Elephas maximus indicus: one gene and its partner. The protein of the gene in region 2 purifies or fractionates together with the protein of the main gene of each other region. This does not show direct contact. Links are inferred from orthologs where the notes say so. Each region holds a gene or a part of one and is shown on either strand. Other genes may lie near its edges.

What was found. The genes of interacting proteins can lie anywhere in the genome.
Region 1: the proteins of protein argonaute-1 (region 2) and TARBP2 purify together in Homo sapiens (co-immunoprecipitation; 4 studies listed by BioGRID and IntAct, with this or other methods). This does not show direct contact. The link is inferred for Elephas maximus indicus from reciprocal best matches to the Homo sapiens genes AGO1 and TARBP2.

The regions. Positions count from the first base shown.
Region 1 is NC_064822.1:108,992,585-109,002,901, reverse strand, and holds the start of TARBP2 (RISC-loading complex subunit TARBP2), read right to left. Parts: upstream 4,579-10,317; 5' UTR 4,352-4,578; coding exon 4,299-4,351; intron 4,277-4,298; exon of another isoform or gene 4,052-4,276; intron 3,754-4,051; coding exon 3,584-3,753; intron 3,116-3,583; coding exon 3,013-3,115; intron 2,447-3,012; coding exon 2,351-2,446; intron 1,764-2,350; coding exon 1,691-1,763; intron 1,337-1,690; coding exon 1,219-1,336; intron 903-1,218; coding exon 775-902; intron 385-774; coding exon 183-384; intron 31-182; coding exon 1-30. UniProt on the Homo sapiens protein: Required for formation of the RNA induced silencing complex (RISC). Component of the RISC loading complex (RLC), also known as the micro-RNA (miRNA) loading complex (miRLC), which is composed of DICER1, AGO2 and TARBP2.
Region 2 is NC_064821.1:77,238,282-77,247,940, forward strand, and holds the start of protein argonaute-1, read left to right. Parts: upstream 1-5,893; 5' UTR 5,894-6,112; coding exon 6,113-6,137; intron 6,138-9,659.

The sequences.
Region 1 (10,317 bases), on a different chromosome or scaffold from region 2:
ACTGGCAGAGCCCGCTCAGGCTTAACTCCTCTGCGCCAAGAGAGAGATGGGAGGCAACGTTGGGTGGGGAGGCAGCACCAGATGGTATGCATTTACATCCTCTTCCTCTTCTCCCAACCCCCTTACACCCACTCATGCTTGCTCTGGTCCGGTCCCCACCCCTGACCCCAAACCAGCCATACCAATATCCAGGTAGCTGACATGGAAGGCCTGCTCCTCGGAAAGCTCACTGAGGACACTGCAGCAAGCAGGGCCCAGGGCACCAAGGGAGCCCAGGGAGCAGCTGCGAAGGGACAGGATCTTCTCTCCCACAGAATTTCTTAGAGAATCCCAGGTGCAGCCTGGGCCCCGGTTCCGAAGTCCATCCAAGCGGGAGCCCACGCCCTGATGAGATGGGGACAATGACAGCAATGTAGCCAGGGACTGTGGGACACTCAAAATCCAAGGAGAGGAAAGCCCAGAGTGCCTGTTCCGGCTTGCCTCCCCCAGTCAGTCCCCATAAGACCCCTGCTAACTACTAGCCCAGACGGCCAGGCAGCCTTCCTCATCCCAGCAGCAGAAGCTCACAGATCCCTGGGTTAGCTCCCCCACACCACTCAGAGGGGCTGACAAGTGGAGACTAAGAGCTCCTCAAACTCTGGATCTGGTAGGAAATGAGGCAGGAGCAGGCCTTGGGCTGGAGAGGCTCACTCCTGAGTTACAGACCCAAGTCTCCGGTACCCGGCCCTGGCATGAACGAAGGCCCACGGCACCTGGCCCACACAAGCCACTCACAATGGAGAAGTGATCATCATCAGGCTCTGCTTCATTCCCATCCCGGGCATCCAGGGGCACTGTATGCACTCGGAGCAGCATTTTGGCCGCTGCGTTACGCTTTGCCAGCTTTTTGGAAGTGCCACTGCCTGTATGTGGGAAGAGGGTGCCGGATTATTATTCCCAGTAGGTCCAGTACTTTCCACCCGGGACACACTTGGAGGGTCCCCTCACAAGGATGTCAATTGGAAAGGGGCACTGAGGACCTGCTCATGCACCTGACAATCTGGTCAACTAGAAACGAAGGGGAAGGATAGGCTGCAAGAAGAAACTAGGAGGAAGGAGCTGAGCCTAGGACTGAGAAGCAAGGTGAGCTGGGGCTCTGCAGTGAGGCCAGGAGCTGCCCTGTGGCCGGGGATGGAGTGGTGGGGACAGTAGCTCAAGAACCCCCTTCCGCCCAGTTACCAATCTCAATGAAACGTTCCACTCGGCAGGTCATGGTAAACTCTTTGCGGTGGGCTGGCCCGGACTCCTGGGTCACTGTGTACTCAGGCAACCGCCAGCCTTTCTGCACCACCAGCTCCTTGGAAAGGGTGGAAAACCAGCGATGCACAAGGCTGAGTAAGAGAGGAGGGATAAACCAAACCAAACCCAACCCAGTGCCGTCCAGTCGATTCCAACTCATAGCGACCCTATAGGACAGAGCAGAACTGCCCCATAGAGTTTCCAAGGAGCACCTGGCGGATTCGAACTGCCAACCCTTTGGTTAGCAACCGTAGCACTTAACCACTACGCCACCAGGGAGGAGGGATAAGGGGGGTGGAAAAAGCCTCCAGTACAGGGCAACCCCCCTGTCCCCGCACAATTACATAAGCTTCCCTCACAGCCCTGGTTCAAGGGAAGACAAGCATGCACAGGAAATGAGGATGGGGCACACCTGCAGAGCACCAACGGGGTTGCACTCAGACTGCTGAGGGGAGACAGGGGGCTGTACCTCCATGGAGGGGCTCCTGAAGGAAAAAGGGCCCAGGGCCAAAGCTGAGGGAGATGGCTCCTTCTTGGCTACCCATAAGCCCAAGTCCTAACTATTGCCTTGGCTTTACTACATCTCCCTATTTCCCACTAGGCAGGCAACTGTCTCGCCAAATGTCTAGCATTCCTCCCTCCTGCTCTGGTCCACTTCCCCCTCCCACCCATGTGAGGCCTCCTATGTGTCCTAACCCCATTTCCATTCTGTACGTTTAGGCATCATCTCACCAAGATAGTAGAAGGACTGTGTATACCCAGTCCCAGGAAGAACCTAATGAGACTCAGACATAGAACTATCACGTGGCCAACCCAGAAGAAAATGGGTCTTGCAAGACCCTTAAAACATGGTCCAACATCACCCTTATGACTATTTAAAAATCATAAATTACTTCCTGCCCCAACAGCTTACCAGCTGGTGCAAATTCTTCAAGCTCTGGTCCCCAATTAGTCCACCCTCTGTTTACTCTTAGATTTCCTCATGCCCTGACCAGCCTAGGTCCAAGGGCTGGGGGTCAGGAACCAGGACCCCCTCCTCTCCCACCTCAAGCAGTCAGGGGACAAAAGATACCTGGTTGGGACAGCAGAAAGAACAGGAGTAGCAGCCGCTGCAGCAGTAAAAACCGGGACGTCCTCAGGCAGTGAAGAGTCTAGGGGAGAGAAAGGACTTCCCGAGGGGAAGGGAGCATTTGATTCACACACATGTGTAAAGGGAACGGAGAGTGGGGGATCCAGGTCTTCCTGACATGCCCATCCCCTAAGAGAACCCTTTCCCACTTGAGCCAAAGACTCAGGGAAGCTCAACCAACAACTCTTCCTTCTGAGATCGTCTGCTGTCAAAGACTAAATCAAAAAGACTGCGAAAAGGGGGAGAAGGGTCTCTTCCTACTCAAGGATGCTGGAAGCAACAAACTCCAGCCTAAATGTGGAAGATGGAAAGACATCTTGCTAGAAAGAGAAAGCATGTTGGGAGCAACTCCCTTCAGGCTTAGGCTCCACCCCTCTCCCTCCCTAATCCAGGTCCCAAACCATAGCCACAACCTCTGGATGGGGCTGGCTACTCCCCCCAGAATCCTTCGCTGCAGCAGAAACTCTGGAAGCACCATGCTCAGGTCCAGAGGAAACTCAGGAAGAGGCCAGGGCAGGGTGGTCTACTGGGCAGAGGGAGTGGGCCAGGGGCCTGCCCTGGTTGCTGGCAGAGCCTCTAGGATGCCTTGGCTGTTTCTCCCTCACCTGCTGTCCTCCAGGGCCGGCTCCAGCATGCTCCCCCCTTTGAGGTGCTTGAGGGCCACCTCGGCTGCTTTGTGCTTGGCTGCCTTCTTGCTGGGGCCCTGACCTGAGAGAGGGGATCGGACAATACTAGAGGTCACTGGAAGGGCAGAAGAGGTCACTGGAAGGACAGCACCCCATAGCCTCTCTTCATACAGCCACAGGGAGTCAGCTAGCCCCCTCTGACTAACCTCCCCCTGCCCAAGACTGGAAGTGTTACACTAACTGCTGGAAGGAAGGACTCTTAACAGCCCCCCTCCAAATCCTTACTCAGATTTATGTTTACCTCCTACTTTTTCCTCAGGGATGACGAGGATCTGCCAGATTGCTGTGGCAGTCCTGCTCTCTAACTCTCCCAAGTCCTATCCCCCGTCCCCACCACCCTGCTCTCCCAGTCCAGTCAGTGGTTTCTCCCCTGCAATTTCTCCTTCCCTCACTAGCCGTGGAGGACTGTGAATAAACTTCAAACAGCAAAGCCATGGCGCCCTGTGACAAGCTTAGCACACCCCAGCCAAGCTGCCCAATCCTTCCTCACCAGTGCAGCTGGTGTTGCCAACGGTGACCCGGAAGGTGAAATTAGGCTGGTGGGCTTGGCCCTCGGCTTTGAGGAGGTCGTACACGGGCGTCTTCCCTATTCTGGTCCCATACTCCTGCAGAAGGCTGATCGGGGTCTTGCCCGGGTTGGCGGCCAGCATTTGCTCTATACTGGGGGGCAGGGGCACAGACCGACATCACACCTCCCCTACACCCATCTCACCAAGCACTGCCATACCAGACCCAGGCACATTATGGGAACGCAGAGAGTCCAGGGGACCCTGGCAATACAGCAGCCATTGGCTGGGTTCAATGTGGAGTAGAGGTGCAGGCTGGGAAAGCAGGATCCATTGCCCCAGGGCAGGAGAGGAATGCACAGTTCCTATCTCAGTGAAGGTATCCTGTACCCCAGCGTAGGTTGGAAGTGCATGTCCCCTGTCACAGTGCAGGCTAGGGACCCAGTACCCACCAAATGCACTAAAATTCGATGGCATAAACCCCAGTGCCCCAGGGCAGTCTGGGAACCGGGACAACTCCAAACTATTTAGGGCTGGAGGCAGTGGCCACTGCTCGGTGCATGCTGGGAATCACTGCCCACTACCCCAGTGCTTGCCGGGAACAACCCTCAGGCCAGGTGCATGCTGGGGCCGCGCGGCTACCGCCTCCGCGCCGCACCACGATTTTCGCCCTGCAGGGCTCTTTACGAGGTGGCTCACCTGGGCAGCACGCAGCCCGTGATAATGCCGGAGCCCTGCTCCTCTTCACTCATTCCCTCCTCCGTCCCCGCGGGCGCCACCGTGACTACAGCCTCCACGCGCCCCAATACTCCGCCGACGAGCTAGGGCCGGGGCCAAGCCCGGAGTCGCGGCCGGTAGGGCCCGGCGCGGGGCATGCTGGGATATGGAGTCCCCCGCCCACCCTACTTCATGTGTCTCCATCAGGAGGGTAGCTATCCTCCCCACAACCCTCCGCGTGGTTCGCCCTGGCAAGCAGCACCGCCTTCTGGGAGGAGCAGACCCCTTCTCTGTCGCTTCCCAAGCTTAGGCTTTTTTTTTTTAATCGTCCCGCCTCCTTCCTTCCGTTCCTCCGTTCCCTGTACTGTGAAGCTGTGGACATGCGCACTAGCGGAATGGAAGCCGCTGGGGGCGGGGCGGTAAGGGCTAACTCTAAAATGGGGCTTTTTGAATTCCGAGAGAACTACAGAACCCAGGAGCTTGCGCGCCATTTTTGTCGCAGCTGGAGGGGCAGGGTCTAATGCGATCGAGAAGCTTCGCGGCGTGATTGGTTATTCCCGATTGCGTTTCCTCCTCTAGACAAGTTGAGATTGGTTGTTTTGCCTAGAGGGGTGGGAACAAGGGAAGAGTCGGCCCCCTTTGGCCCCGCCTTTTCCTTGAGAAAAGACTGTGATTGGCCCGGCGTCGAGGAGCGCTTTCTGGGAAGGAGGTGGGCCTTAACCTGGACGCGGGAGGGGGCTGTGCTCTGTCCCCCAAGGCGCTGGGACAAATGTATACCTAAGTTCCTCTCTGAGCGTTGACCCTCACCCCTTGGCCTAAGCCCCTGGTTCTCAGGCCTCCGTCTCGTAGAACCTTCTTTTCTCAAAGGTTACCCTTCACCTCCCTTTCAAAGCCTTTTTAGAGCGGCCCTAGTCTCTCTTTAACCGGCCAGGAAATCCCCTCAGGGGCCTGAGAATCAGGCTATCGGATGAGGCAGGATGAGAAGGACTCAGGCAATTGGGCCCCGCTGTCTGTCGTGGGTCTTGGGTTTCTCAGGTAAAAGCAAATCAAGAGAGGATTCTGACTTCTTAAAACTAACGGACTAATCTGAGTGCAGAACAGAACCCCTATTTTGGGGTCTCAGAGCTCCATCCGTCACTCTCCAAAGTCTTGTAACCACTTGGCTGAGAGAGATAGGGGAAATCTTGTGACCTTGGAGACAGAAATCACGAAAAGTGTCTGACTCTAATGAGTGTCCTAAGAAGGTGTCAGGGAAGCCTGAGCAAGGTTGGAGGTTCAGAGCAATCTTGGAATGATCGTGGAGAGGGAGGGAGGGAGCCTAGAGCTGAGGCGTACAGCGTTTGGTGGAACTAGAGTGATGACAATTCTGGGGAGGAGAGCTGGCAAGATGGGTATGACAGGGGAGCAATGCCAAAGCGCTGGGGGTCCCATAAGGGTAAAGGAGAGAGTTTATAAAACGGGTCATGGGGATTCCTGTGGAATCAGCATAAAACCCAGGGTAGGACGGCTACAGGATACCACCAGCAGGGAGGCGCAGGGTGCAGACGGGCCAGGGACAAGCCTGGAAAGCGCCGGATGGCAGCAGCGGGCTCCTTTAAGAGGCCGACGGCTCCAGCGCAGCATCCCCAGCTCAGGGCGTGTCCGTCCCGGGGGGCCAGGGGCGGGGGCCCTGAAAAGAGCGAGAGTTCGAGCCGACAGGGGACGGGGCTAGGGGTCGGGGGGGTGGGGGCATAAATCTGGGGCTGATACCCGTGCATCCGGACACCGCACGAGCCTCGTCTGTGACAGCGACCCGGGTCCGGTCGAGGGCAGCGGGGGGGGGGGGCGGGGGGAGGAGAAAGGAGGAGGAGAAGGAGGAGGAGGCGGGAGCAGCATCCGGAGCGGAGCTGCAGCAGCGCCGCCTTTTGTGCTGCGGCCGCCGAGCCCCCGAGGTGAGAGCCTGGGCGAGTTGCGGGGGGTGGAGGGCTGGAACGGGCCCGGGTCCTGGGATCCGGGTGCGAAGGGAGGATCGGGATGCAGATGTGGCGTGGGGGAGGGGGTGGCGCGGGGATGCTGAGGCTGTGGGGATGGGGGGACCGGGAACCTGGACCCGATGCCTGTGGGGATGGGAAGGAGGCGAAACGAACGGTGGGACGCCGCGGCCCAGCCTGGAGACGAAGGGCTTCCCGAGCTGGAAATGACGGTATTGCAGGGGGAGGAGGGGGTGGGGTGACTGGGGGGCAGAATTAAAGAAAGGACAGAGGGCAAGAGAACATCCTCCTCTCCTCCTACTCATCTTCAAGAAGGGGGAGAGAGGAGGGAGAGTTTTGGCTCCCTCCAGAAAAGGAAAGGAAGGGCAAGGCCTGCTGTACCCACCCCCCCCCCACCACACACACACACACACACACACACACATACACACACACAGAGAGCAGGCTAGACCTTAAGACTGTAGTCAGAGTGCACCTGTTCCTGGATGCCCAGGCGTTGGTCTCCCTCCCCTTCCAGCTGTGATGCCCCCAATCCCCTCCAGCTGTAGCATTCACCTTCTTCATCCAGCTGTTGCATCCTCCCCTCCCCCATCTATATATGGCTCTCTCCCTCCTCCTTCTTCCATCTTCTCTGGCTCCCCTAACCCATTCCCCCAGCTCAGGCCCTTCAAGAACCACTTCTCTTTGCCTCCACATACTCCTCAAACTCCTTGGCTTAAAAATAAGCAAGAATCTTTCCACAGAGTTGAGACTCCTGATATCCATGGCCTTAGCTGAGGGGAGAGAAAACAAGGGGTCAGTGCCTCTATAGACAGAGGGAGGAAATGGTGTCCCTTAGAATTGGGGGGAGGTCCCACCTTTTAGCTCTTCTACCTCTTGAGAGAATAGGTGAGTGGACTTCAACCAGGAGGGTGTGCACATGAGGTCTCTTCATCCCTGCCATGGTCCTCTCCAGCCACAGTCAATAACTCCCTCTAAACAGCATTTCCTGTCCACCTCTTAGGATGAACTCCAATGCTTTGGGGGCATGATTTTCAGCTAGAGAGTCATGCCAAGCTGGGCAAGCAGAAGGGATTCAGGAAGTGCCTTCTTTAGTTTCTCTGGGTTTTAGGGCCCTGCTCCCTCCTATCCCACATTTAAGGGTGAAAAAAAACTATCTGCCCTCTCAAGCCTGGCATTGATCCACTCACTCACATTGGAGTCTGAGGTGATCATGCAGAGAAGACCAACAGTTTGATACCCCAACTCCCAGCATACATAAAAACACAACTAAATACTCATCTCCTAATTAAACCCAGTTATGGGCAGAGGAGGCAGGGAGTTCAAGTTAAGGAAGTGGCTCAGGATTTCCTAGGCCTCCTTATGGCTAAGAATGGCAGAACCCCTCTAAAAAACAATTGCTATTCCTTGTCTTTCCCTCCATGGTGATACTTTGGTAAAACCTGCCTTTGCCAAGAAGACCCTAAGCTCTAGTACCCACAGCCCTGGACTCTCCTAGTGGCTCATCCTGGGCAGTCCTACGTCTCTCTGCTGCCAGGACCTGGGGGGAAAGAAAGGATCAGGGAATCAACCCCTTCAGGAGTCCCTGCTGAGGAAAAAAGAGGACAGTGTTAAGATGATACCAGCAGGGGACATAAGGGCTTCATGAGGGGTTGGTTGACTCCAGAGACTGGTCTAGTTCATTTGCTCCCAGGAGAACTTAGGGTCATGTGTGTACTGGGGACAGGGGGAAGGAGACAGCAACAACACTATTCCAGAGAAGGATAAGGATAATGCAGGATAAATAGCCCTTGCCTTTTGGTTTCTTCTTTTTGCTCTCCTTTTTTCACCTTGCTTCTCTGCCTCCCTTTTCAACTGTACCCTACCTACTGCCTCTTGCTTTAAGAAAGTAAGAGAACTCATATTTTTAAAGAATCTAATACTATGTGTTAGACACTTTCCACACAGCTAATGTTTATGGGGAGCTTCCTACATGCCAGGTACTGGGCCAAGAACTTTATTTGGATTATCTCAGTAATGCTTATAACAAGCCTAAGAGTTAGGTAGTGTTATCATCAAAAAACTAATTTGTTCAGGGTCAAAAAGTTAGTATGTGGCCAGAGCTAGGATTCAAACTCAGGTCTGTCTGACCCCGAGCCTGTGTTTTTGCCCACCACATCTCATCCTGCATTACCACTATGTGAGAGAAATACCATTGTCCCCATTTAAAGATGAAGAAACTGAAGTTAAGATGACTTGTACTTGAGGTCACCCTGCTGGTAAGGAATAGGGACAAGACCTCAACCTAAGCCTCTCTGATTCTAATCCTGGTCTCTCTCCACCACACCAGCCAGCCACCCTCCCCCTAAAGCACAGTTGTCCTCAGCTAAGTGCCAGGAATGGATGAATACTCTGTAATTTTTATTGTCTCTTTTTCAATTTAAGATACATTTATTTTAAAAGTAATTAAAACAAATTACTGAAATATTAAAAAATATAATAAGCCCAAAGAGGAAAATAAAAACACCCATAATGCCACCTGCCTAAGAGCTGTGACACTTTGGTAGCTGTCCATCCAGATCTTTTTATGTGCACGTTCAGCTCAGGAACCACTTGTTAAAATATGCTGAACTTCGTCCCAGTCCACCTGACGTCCTGAGTAGGAAGGAAAGGCCTGGACCATCATACCTTGCTCTTGTCTTCTTCTTCCTCTCAGACCTTAGTAGGTGGGACTGAGGGTGATCTTGTGCCACATGATCAAGGTGAGGGTTTTAGTGGTGTAGCTGCTAGAGAGAGCAGATTCCAAAGAGAATTGGCCAGGGGGCAAGGATGAAGCGTAGAGGATCAGGCCTTCCCCTCTGTGCAGAGCAAGTGGAATGGCAGGATTTGCAGAGGAAGAACTGAAGATCTGGGAAAGGAATTATTGCTGGGGGCTCTAGTACACCACTGCCATTGTAACCTGGTTGCACTGGAACCTGGAGTCGAGATTTGTCCTGGGGTACTAGAAGGTCGGAGACCAAGTCTCCCTTTATCTGGTCAGGCAGAAGAGATGGACTCTTCAGGATCCACAAAGAAAGACCTGGTGTCCAGCCAACCAGGAAGACAAAGCAAGGAGCCAGGCAGCATGCTCACTGCACTCCCTACATCATCCTACTTCACTCGCACCACCTGATAAGGTAGGGCTGGGTGTTTCAGAGAGGTGATTGTACTTAAACTAATCAGCAGCAAAGCTGGGGTTCTAAAGGACCTGATCTCCAACTCCAAAGCTGGCTCCTGTTTCCTAAATACTACTACCCTCCTGCCTGCCTCAAGTCCTTCCACTGCCTGTGTTCCTGGAAGAAGAGGTTGTGGCTGCTAGGGGTCTCAGGGCTTGGCCTGGAGGAGGCTGGAGACCTGGATTTAGGGGGTGACCTCCAGGTTTCCCCAGGCTCTCAGGGGAAGGTATTTCCCCCTCGTGAGGGCACTGAGAGAAGCTGTAGTTCCATGTGAGAAGAGCTCTGGGGCCAGCACCATGGACTCTTTAAAAAAGCAAAACGAAAACCAAGCTGAAGCCAAGTGGACAGGAGGCAGGCCATCAAGGGTCAGAGTCCTGTACCCTCCACAGGGTCTCAAAGCCTGCAGAGGTGGGGACTAGGATTCCAAAGGTTTGAGTCTCTTTTTCTTTGAAGTCCCCCCTCCCTGACCCACTCAGGAGAGAAGTGGAAACTTTTCCTGAATGGAAAATGAGGTCTAGGACTGCAGAGAATGCTTAGCCCTAAGAGCCCAAGATTTAGACAGATGGCCTGGCCTCTGAACTGAGCCCCCAAGACAGCCAGACAAGCAACTGGGCATTGAGATTCAGCTCTTAGTGTAGGAGGGAGCCATAGAGAATTCAGAGGGTTCCCTTGCCTCAGGCTTCCAACATCTCAGGCAGGAGAACCTAGGTGGAAGAATAAATGGTGATTCCCTGTCCCCACTCCACCCCTACAGCCTTCTGATGGGGCACTTTGGAAACCACCAGCAAAACAATCTTGTTGTAGCTGAAATTTGGAGTCAAAGGAGTTCGGCATCAA
Region 2 (9,659 bases):
GCCCAGAATTTTAATGAAGATTATATGAGGAAGCATATATAAAGTTTTGGGACAGAGCCTGACACTTAGTAAGTTCTTTATAATGTTAGCTATTATACTAGTGACCAAAGACCAGACAAATTGTGTAATGACATCAAGGACATTATACATGAAGAGAGTAAAAACCCAACCAAAAGAAAAGAACAAAATGGATGTTAGAAGAGACTCTGAAACTTGCCCTCGAATGTAAACCAGCTAAAATGAATGGAGGAAATGATGGAGTAAAAGCTGAACAGACGATTTCAAAGAACAGCTCGAGAAGACAAAGTAAAGTATTATCGTGAAATGGGCAAAGACCTGGAGTTAGAAAGCTAAAAGGGAAGAACATGCTTGGCATTTCTCAAGCTGAAAGAACTGAAGGAAAAACGCAAGTCTCAAGTTGCAGTATTGAGGGATTTTTACAGGGAAAATGTTAATGCAGGAAGTATCAAAAGAAGATAGAAAGAATACAGAGTCACTGTACCAAAAAAAAATTGGTCAGTGTTCAAACCATTTCAGGAGGCAGCATATGATCAAGAATCGGCAGTACTGAAGGAAGAGAAATCCAAGCTGCACTGAAGACATTCGCGAAAAACAAGGCTTAAGGAGTTAATGGACTATCAATTGAGATGTTTCAACACACAGATGCAGCATTGGAAGCACTCACTCATCTATGCCAAGAAATCTGGAAGACGGCCACCTGGCCAACTGAATAGAAGAAATCCATATCTGTGCCCATTCCAAAGAAAGGGGATCCAACAAAATGCAGAAACTATCGAACAATATCGTTAATGTCACATGCAAGTAAAATTCATAAAATACATCCATAATCCTGAGATCTCTTTTTTATAATATCATCATCTGATTAAGAGATCAGGATCTTTCTCTGCTAGTAAGAATAAATTAGGAGAATTCCCGTTTCCCCTGTGCTCTAGAACAGTTCATATAACATGAAACAGAATTATCTCTTTTGGGAAAGATTGGAAGCATTAAACTGAACCTTCTGGGCTAGATGTTCTTTGGTCACCCTTGATCACGTTCTCAGTGTCCTTCTTAGTTATTGCTCAGATCTTGCTTTTAAGTCCTTGTTTTGCATTTTTGATGAAAACACACATACACACGTAATTAAATTTTTTTTTTACTCAAAGTTTCAGATTCATTAGCCTATGGGTATATAAACAATTTCCTTATATTTGTTAAAATCTCTGTGGTGAGTTTTAAAATTTGGGACTAATGGATATGTTCACTATTTTGGTTGTGATGATTTCACAGATTTATATACACATCAGAACTTAACAAGTTATACATTTTATATATGTATATTTTATTATATGTCAATTATACCTCAATTTATAAAAAGCTTACCAATTTTATAAATCTTTTCAAAGTAACAGTTAATACTTATTAACTCCATTTTTGATGATTTCTGATTTTTAAAACTATTTCCTGAAATATTTAAGAAATACATGTTTATTGTAGATAAAGGCATGCTGCATGCAAGAGCTGTTGATTCATTTCCTGATAGTAGGGTATACAATTTGTCTTAAATCTATTAATTATACTACATTGCTTTCATTGTTCCTAGATTGATTTTTTAAAATAATTTTTATTATGCTTTAAGTGAAAGTTTACAAATCAAGTCAGTCTCTCACACAAAAACTTATATACACCTTGCTACACACTCCCAATTACTCTCCCCCTAATGATACAGTCCGCTCCCTCCCTCCACTCTCTCTTTTTGTGTCCATTTTGCCAGCTTCTAACCCCCTCCACCTCTCATCTCCCCTCCAGGCAGGAAATACCAACATTGTCTCAAGTGTCCATCTGATCCAAGAAGCTCACTCCTCACCAGCATCCCTCTCCAACACATTGTCCAGTCCAATCCATGTCTGAAGAGTTGGCTTCAGGAATGGTTCCTGTCCTGGGCCAACAGAAGGTCTGGGGGCCATGACCACCGGGGTCCTTCTAGTCTCAGTCAGGCCGTTAAGTCTGGTCTTTTTATGAGAATTTGGGGTCGGCATCCCACTGCTCCCCTGCTCTCTCAGGGGTTGTCTGTTGTGTTCCCTGTCAGGGCAGTCGTTGGTTGTACCCGGGCACCATCTAGTTCTTCTGGTCTCAGGATGATGTAGTCTCTGGTTCATGTGGCCCTTTTTGTCTCTTGGGCTTGTAATTACCTTGTGAGCTTGGTGTTCTTCATTCTCCTTTGATCCAGGTGGGTTGAGACTCATCGATGCATCTTAGATGGCCGCTTGTTAGAGTTTAAGACCCCAGACACCACTCTTCAAAGTGGGATGCAGAATGCTTTCTTAATAGATTATATTGTGCCAATTGACTTAGATGACCCCTGAAACCATGGTCCCCAAACCCCTGCCCCTGCTACGCTGGCCTTTGAAGCACTCAGTTTATTCAGGAAACTTCTTTGCTTTTGGTTTAGTCCCGTTGTACTGACCTCACCTGTATTGTGTGTTGTCTTTCCCTTCACCTGAAGTAGTTCTTATCTACATTCTAATTAGTGACTTAGATTGATTTTTTAAATATTAAAATGAAAATATAGATGGAGATGCAAATTTTTTTCAAGGTGTTCTTGTAGTTTTGGGACCAGGAAACTTTGGGTGTGAAGAATATGTATAGGTGGAAAAACCTGGGTACTGGCCCACAGAACAGAGGACCTTCAGTGTGAGTTAGCTAAGGACTAAGATGCAAGGATTGAACTAGAAACAGAGAGAAGCTGTTAGATTTCTGGGAAGGTACATCAAGAATTACTGAAAGAAGTTTTTTTTTTCTTCTTTTTAAAGAAAAAGGTTTTATTTGGCATATATTCAAAGAGGCAAAAGTAGGAAGTAGACAAGAATGCTGCTAGAGCCATGTCTGCCTGAGTCCAAGGAAATACTACAGAACAGACAAAAGTGGAAAAACGGACAAGCATGTTGCTAGAGCCATGTCTGCCTGAGTCCAAGGAATATGACAGAATGGACAAGAGTGGGAAAACAGACAAGCATGCTGCCACAGTGCTAGAAGAAAGTTGTCAGCATAAAAAGCAAAATGCTATCTGGATTTCCCTTATACTCTACTGCTTTGTCAAGCCAAGAGTGAAATCCTTGATGATGGAGACACCCTGCAGAAGGACCCTGAGAGTCCAGAGTCAGGATTGACTCCACTAGCCACTTTGAAAATGAATCAGAATAGTGGCCAGTGCCTTTCCACAAAGTTAAGTGTGAGCCTGGGCATTCAGAACAGGGGATTCAAACTCTTATGGAAAAGCTGAGCTCCCAGCTCAGTTACACCAAGGCAAGGACCCTGCTATTTCTGAGGGTTTTTTTTATGCCATCTGTTTGATTCAGGTCAAGCCAAATTTACTTCTCACTCTAGACACAGCTTTTCCCAGGCACCAAAGGGGGACAGAGATGCATTTGATATGGTCTCTGTCCTTAAGGAGCTTAGAATATAGTGTGAAAAGCAGACAGCGATTATGATAGCAGCTAACACTTTTCTTGCATTCTTCTAGGCATTGTTCTCAGGTCTTTACCGGCTAATTTAATTTTCACAACAGCCTAGTGAGGTAGGTATTGTGCTTACTTCTAATTTACAAAGGTAGAAATTGAGACACAGAAAAGTAATTTGCTCACTGTTACACAGCAGGTAAATGGTAGTACCAGGATTGACACCAAGAAAGTATGACTCTAGAATCTTTGTTCTTAACTACTACTTTATGCTGTTGAGCAGTGGTTTCTCAAAGTGTGGTTCCCAGGCCATCAGCATAAGCCTTATCTGGAAACTTGCCAGAAACGCACATTTTTGGGCCCTACCCCAGACCTGCTGAATCGGAAACTCTTTACCCCAGACCTGCTGAATCGGAAACTCTGGAGGCAGGGCTCAGCAATCAGTGCTTTAACAAGTCCTCCAGGTGATTCTGATACCAGCTGTTTGAGAAGACTTGAAGAAGAATTAACACATCTGAATTGTGGTGTTGGTGAAGAATATTGGGTATACCGTGGACTGCCAAAACAATGAACAGATCTGTCTTGAAAGAAGTACAACCAGAATGCTCCTTAGAAGCAAGGATGGCAAGACTGCATCTTACATACTTCGGACATGTTGTCAGGAGGGATGAGTCCCTGGAGAAGGACATCATGCTTGGTAGAGTACAGGATCAGCGGAAAAGAGGAAGACCCTCAACAAGATGGATTGACACAAGCTACAACAATGGGCTTGAGCATAACGATTGTGAGCATGGCACAGGACTGGGCAGTGTTTCATTCTGTGGTACATAGGGCCACTATGAGTCGGAACCAACTTGATGGCACCTAACAACAACAACGCTGGAGAGAAGGAAGACATGCTATGGTGTCAGAAATTAAGCTCCGCATGAGTAGGAACTGCATATAGTCCATCTCAAGTTCCTTGCCCTTTGCTCAGCATCAATAGGCATCAAAAATTACATATATGGATGAATATATGCAAAAGTGATGTTTGAGCTGGGTCTTTCATCATTTATCACTGATGGAAGGAAGGCCTGTGTCAAGAAACTGACTAGCAAGGATGTAGTCGTTCTGGCAAAATAGGATAAGGGTCTGCACCAGCACAGGGACCATTAGAATGGCAAGGGAATCATGAAAGAGCAATTCAGGAGGTAAACATATCAGGAATTGGTGAACAGCTGAACGGGTACAAGAAGCAAGGGAAAGAGAGGAATTGCCATTTCTATGAAGGTGTCATTCACTGAGACAGGAAACAGGACAAGCACGTTTGTGGGGGAAAGAGTTTGTTTTGGCAAATGTTTATGTATATATATTTACTACAATAAAGCAAAAAAAAAAATTTTTTTTTGTTCAGTTTTGGACTCCTTAAATACGAAGTGCTGATAGGCTATCCAGGTGGAGCTGTCCAGCAAACGCTTGGGAATATGAGACTTGGCTGGAGATAGAGATTTGAAAGGATAGTGGATGAGACCTTCAAGGGGAAAGTGGAGAGTGGAATGAGAAGAGAACGGGGTTGGGAACCAGGTGTACACTATTATTTAATAGAGCAAAAGCAAGAGAGGGCCCTCAAAGGAGACTGAAAAGGAATTGGACAAAATGGAGACCTCAGAAAATACAGAAGCCAAGTAGAAGATTCAAAAAAGGAGAGGCACGGATGATGTCAGATAAATAAGAACTGAAAATTATCAACTGGATTTCGGCACAAAAAGTCATTTAAGTGAGGTGATGAGGGTGAAAGCAGATTGGCGGAGTTACGGCGTGAGCTGTAAATGAGAAAGTGGAGGCAGGTCCTTCCCGAGTACCGCAGATAGAGCTCTGTCGCTGCACTTGAGTTGAGACTGTACATCTTTCAGGGTAGGCAGGCTCTGTTTCGTATCTCTGGTCTCAGCGCCCAGTACACGTCCTGGAAGACAGGGTGGCGTCAGTGAGTTCATCGACTGGGGACGGAGAAAGACTTTGCGGAGGCAGTCGCTTTGCAGCCGAGGCTTGAAGGATGAGGGTGATTGGGAGGAGAGGTGGGAGGCAGGGCTCCTGGGTGATGGGGCGCTCGAGTGTGTAGGGGGGGGTCTGGGTATGAGGTGGGGTCCCTGTAATATGCGCGTGGTCCTGTGTGAAGGAGGGTCTGTGTGTAAGTTTGGAGGGGATTATTTTGGAAAAAGATACAGGGCCGGAGGCTGTTGCGGGGGTGGGCCTCCCAGCCTCACTAACGCCGCTGCGCGGTTTCGCGGCGCCTCTACGGGAGCCCTCCCGCTGGGCTGCATGGCGACGGGTGACCACCAGGGGCCGCTGCCTCCGGTCCCCGGTGCCCCCGCCCCTCTCCATTGGCCTTTGTTGCCGTCGGAGCGCCCCGCTTGACTCGTTCCCGTCCGCCCCCTGGGCCTGGCGGCCGCGCCTGCGCACTAGCAACTGGCCGGGCGCTCGAAGGGGGAGCTGCTGCAGGCTCCGCGGCCGCGGCGGCAACGGAGGCTGCGGGGGCGGCGGTGCGAGCGGCCGGGCTTCGGGGGGGGAGCCGAGCCCGGCCCGGGAGCCCAAGCAGCTAAAGTGCGGGGTACCTAGGCCCCTCACGCTGGACTCCAAAGTCTCCAGGCCGCCTGACCTCCGCACGGGTATATGGGATGGAAGCGGGACCCTCGGGAGCAGGTAAGGGCCCCGGGGAAGGGGGGTGCTGTGCGTGCTCCAAGGACCAGAGAGCTCCCGCGTGAGGAGCGGGATTTCCGAGTGAGGGAAGGGCTCCTGAGTGAGGAGAGGGGCTCTCTTGGGATGGGGGCCCAGTTTGAAGGGGGCTGTGTGCAGTTCCGGGAGAGAAGACCTTGTGAAGGGAGCCCTGAGATGGGGGCCATTTGTAGAAGGAGGCTGTATGCAGTCCTGGGGGTGGGAAGTAATCTTGGAGAAGGCCCTGGTAGCACGCAAAGACTCGCGTATATCCGAGGAGGCCTAGGGAGAGGCCCGGCAGGTGGCAGGGGGCGGGCTCCAGGTGTCCCGGAGAGGAGGGGGCGACACAGATGGGCCCGGAGCAGCCGCATGCCGGGGGCGGGGGCTCAGCCTGGCTGGGCTGGGTTAGTGTCTCGGGGAGAAGGCGCCAGAGCTGGGCTGGAATCCCAGCCGCGGGATTCCCCCCAGTGAGTCTGGGGAGCCGGAGCAGAGGCGCCGGAGCATGCGCGGAGGTGGCAGCTGGAAGGGGCTGCCCAGTGTGGTGGGGGCGTGGCTGCCTGAGATCGTTCCCCCACCCCTTAGTCCCGGTTTGGCCTGGAAGAAGGAGCGAGCTGATGGGGTGGATTCTCTAACGTTATGCTGGGAGGGCCAAGTGGAAATGGTCCCTTCCCCCATCTTGGGGTCTCTTACACTTGGCCCTGAAGCCCCTCAGTCACAGTTTCCCAATTAAGGTTAAGAGAAACTGCCAAAGTGCTCCTCTTTGCCAGTAGAGTAAGGAAAGACTGAGACTAAAGCAGTGTTTTGGGGGGTGAAGGTGGGTCCTCCCTGAAGATAGGCCTTAGAAAAGGTGTTCGTTACTGAGGGACCAAGGCCAGGACCAAGTCTACCTGGAAGGGATTTTCTGCCTTCTTTGCAAGTTTCTGGGCCAATACTGAATAGAGATTGAAGCTTTTAATCCAAGGATGAGGACCTTTCTATTGAAATGTGTATTAAGGTGACAGCCTGATCTTTTCCTATACCTCAATATTTTCACGGTTCCTATACTTCACTGGTTATCTGTAGTCTTTCTTTCCTTTTCCCTCTCTCAACCCCCCAGAAACTGTCAGAGCCATGTCATTAGACTCTAGGTTGCTCAGCTAGGTCGGGAGGGACTAGGGTGGGAGATTTTAGCTTGCACCTTGGTGTACTGAGTTCCCGCTGATAGCCTTAACTTCTCCTTTTTTACATGCAAGCAGGAGAAAAGGAACTAAGAACAGAGGAGAAATGGAGGCAGGCCTCCCCAAGAAGACTAGGGCCCGCAGGATGATCTGTGGGGTATTGGGATGTCTTGTGTCCTAGGTCTCTTTCTTACCCTGTGATGGGAGAAAGAACATTCTGGATCCTGGAATTCTTTAGGTGACCTCTTATCACCTCCTTCCATTTGGTCTAGGAATGGAAATAGGATTTACTTCTCTGGTGGAAAGATCTTTGTCTTTTAGATCAAACCTTCTACCTTCAAGGAAATACCTCCTACGAACTCACTCAAATTATCCATTCAGTGATCTATAAATATTTAGTGACTACTCTTCTCCCGAAAAGAGAAACAACCTTACAGAGACTCTGTGGGCCCTAAGGTATGGGAATAGAGTTCAGGAAGCAACTGACTTCAGTGGTCACTACTTTCTCCCTCCCTTAGGTGCCTGTCATCATCTCAGGAGCTCTCTTGGTTTTCTAGGCTGGAGCCTGTTTGCAACAGCCTGTGGACTAGAGAAGTGCGGTGGGTCACAGAGATCCAGATGAATTTCTGAGGGCTTGCACCAATACCAACACCAGACTGCTGATGATTTTATCCTGATGAATTTATAATGGGCTCTGGAGTGATGGAAAAAGTTGACCTTTTTGTTTGTTACAAAAAATAAGGTTCTAGGGAAGGGACAAAGCCTGGTGTCTGCGGTAGCCTTAGGAAGAGCCTAGTGGGACAGGCTTCGCTTCATTAAAGGGTGTAATTGAAATTAGTTCTGGAAACTTCAGGTGGAGGAACCCCATAACTGCCTCCTTCCCAGGCTCAGACTATTAGGAGTTAGGGTGATGGCTTGAGATAGCCCGAGGACACACACAAACTGAGGCATTGTTGCAGGCCTCACTGGGCTTATGCCCAAGTATGCCAACTCTGGTCAGGTGCAGAGGCAGTGTCTGATTTATCTGTGGAACCAGCAACTGCCTAGCATAGGCCATGACACAGAGTATATTCACACTTGAACTGAATCATGTTCAAGTGTGAATATATATATGGTCAAGCGCATAATTGAATATTTGATAACCAGTGTATACTCATGTGCGGACAGATTCTTTTTGGAGAGGTTGGCCTGTTAGCCTTTGCTTATCTACCAGCTAACCCAGCCTTGGATTTGTGTTTTTTAAATAGATAGTCTGGCTCCCTGAGAGATATGTAGGCCTCTGAACTGCTGGGAAGGAATCCCTGGGCCAGGGCTTTCAGCTCTGTTACTTTTCCCTCTCTAGGCCAGTTGGGGATGGGGGAGGGGGAGTGTCCTTTTCAGGGCCCCTCCTTCCTTCCTTCTGTCTGCAGGGAAGGGCCCGCCCCTTTCCCCCAAGGCCCAAGCTTTGTCCTTCTGCTGGGGCCCTCATCTGCATCACAAAGTGGCCGTCTGTCCCTGTCTGGGTCTGAAGGGAAGTGTCTCCCTTTCTCAGACTTAAAGCTGGGGGTGGGGTGGGATGGGGGGCTTTGTACAGCTGGGAGGCGTGTAGGGGGATGGGATGAGAGAGATTACCACCTCTTCCTGCCTTCCCAAGTTCCAGGATGAAGGAGGATGGGGGCTCTCCTGTTTTCCCAAAGCATTCTTGGAGTAGAGTGTGCTCCAAGACTAAGTCTGGCGTGTACTAGTTCAATTTTGGGGGAAGGGAAGGCTTTGAGGCTAGAGTATCTGTCCCATCCCCCATCATTTCCACCCAGCCCCCAGCTCTAGGAGATGTATTTCTCCCAAGGCCCCAAACATTTATCCAGTTTGGGACGCTGAAGGAGGTAAATGGAATCTAAGAATTCAGAGGAGGGTCTCTCTTACTGGCCACATGCACAAGGGTGATATATGTTTGTCCTGTGCAGGATTTGTAATTGTTTCTGGTCAGTTGCAGGTGTTCAAGTGTTTTGTGTGCTATGTGTGGTTGTGGTGTGTCTATGGATATGTTCATTCATTTAATGTCAGTATATTGAACAGCTGTGTGCCAGGCACTGGGGAGTCAACAGGGACCAAGGCAGGTACAGTCCCCAGTCCCTGCCTTTGAAGAAAGTGCAGTCTAAGGCAGTGAGGGGCATATGTATAAAGGTAAGCTGCCTAGGTCTGTGTGTATGTGTTTGGATGTATGTGATAGAAGCGTGTCTATGTGTGTCTGTCTGACTGTGGGCTTGTGTTCAGTTTCTGTCCAGCTCTTTTGGGGTTAGGTGGCCAGATACTAGTAGTTAGGCTTTCACTTCCCCATGTAGCTGAGTTCTGAGGGCCTTGTCCGCCCTGGCTG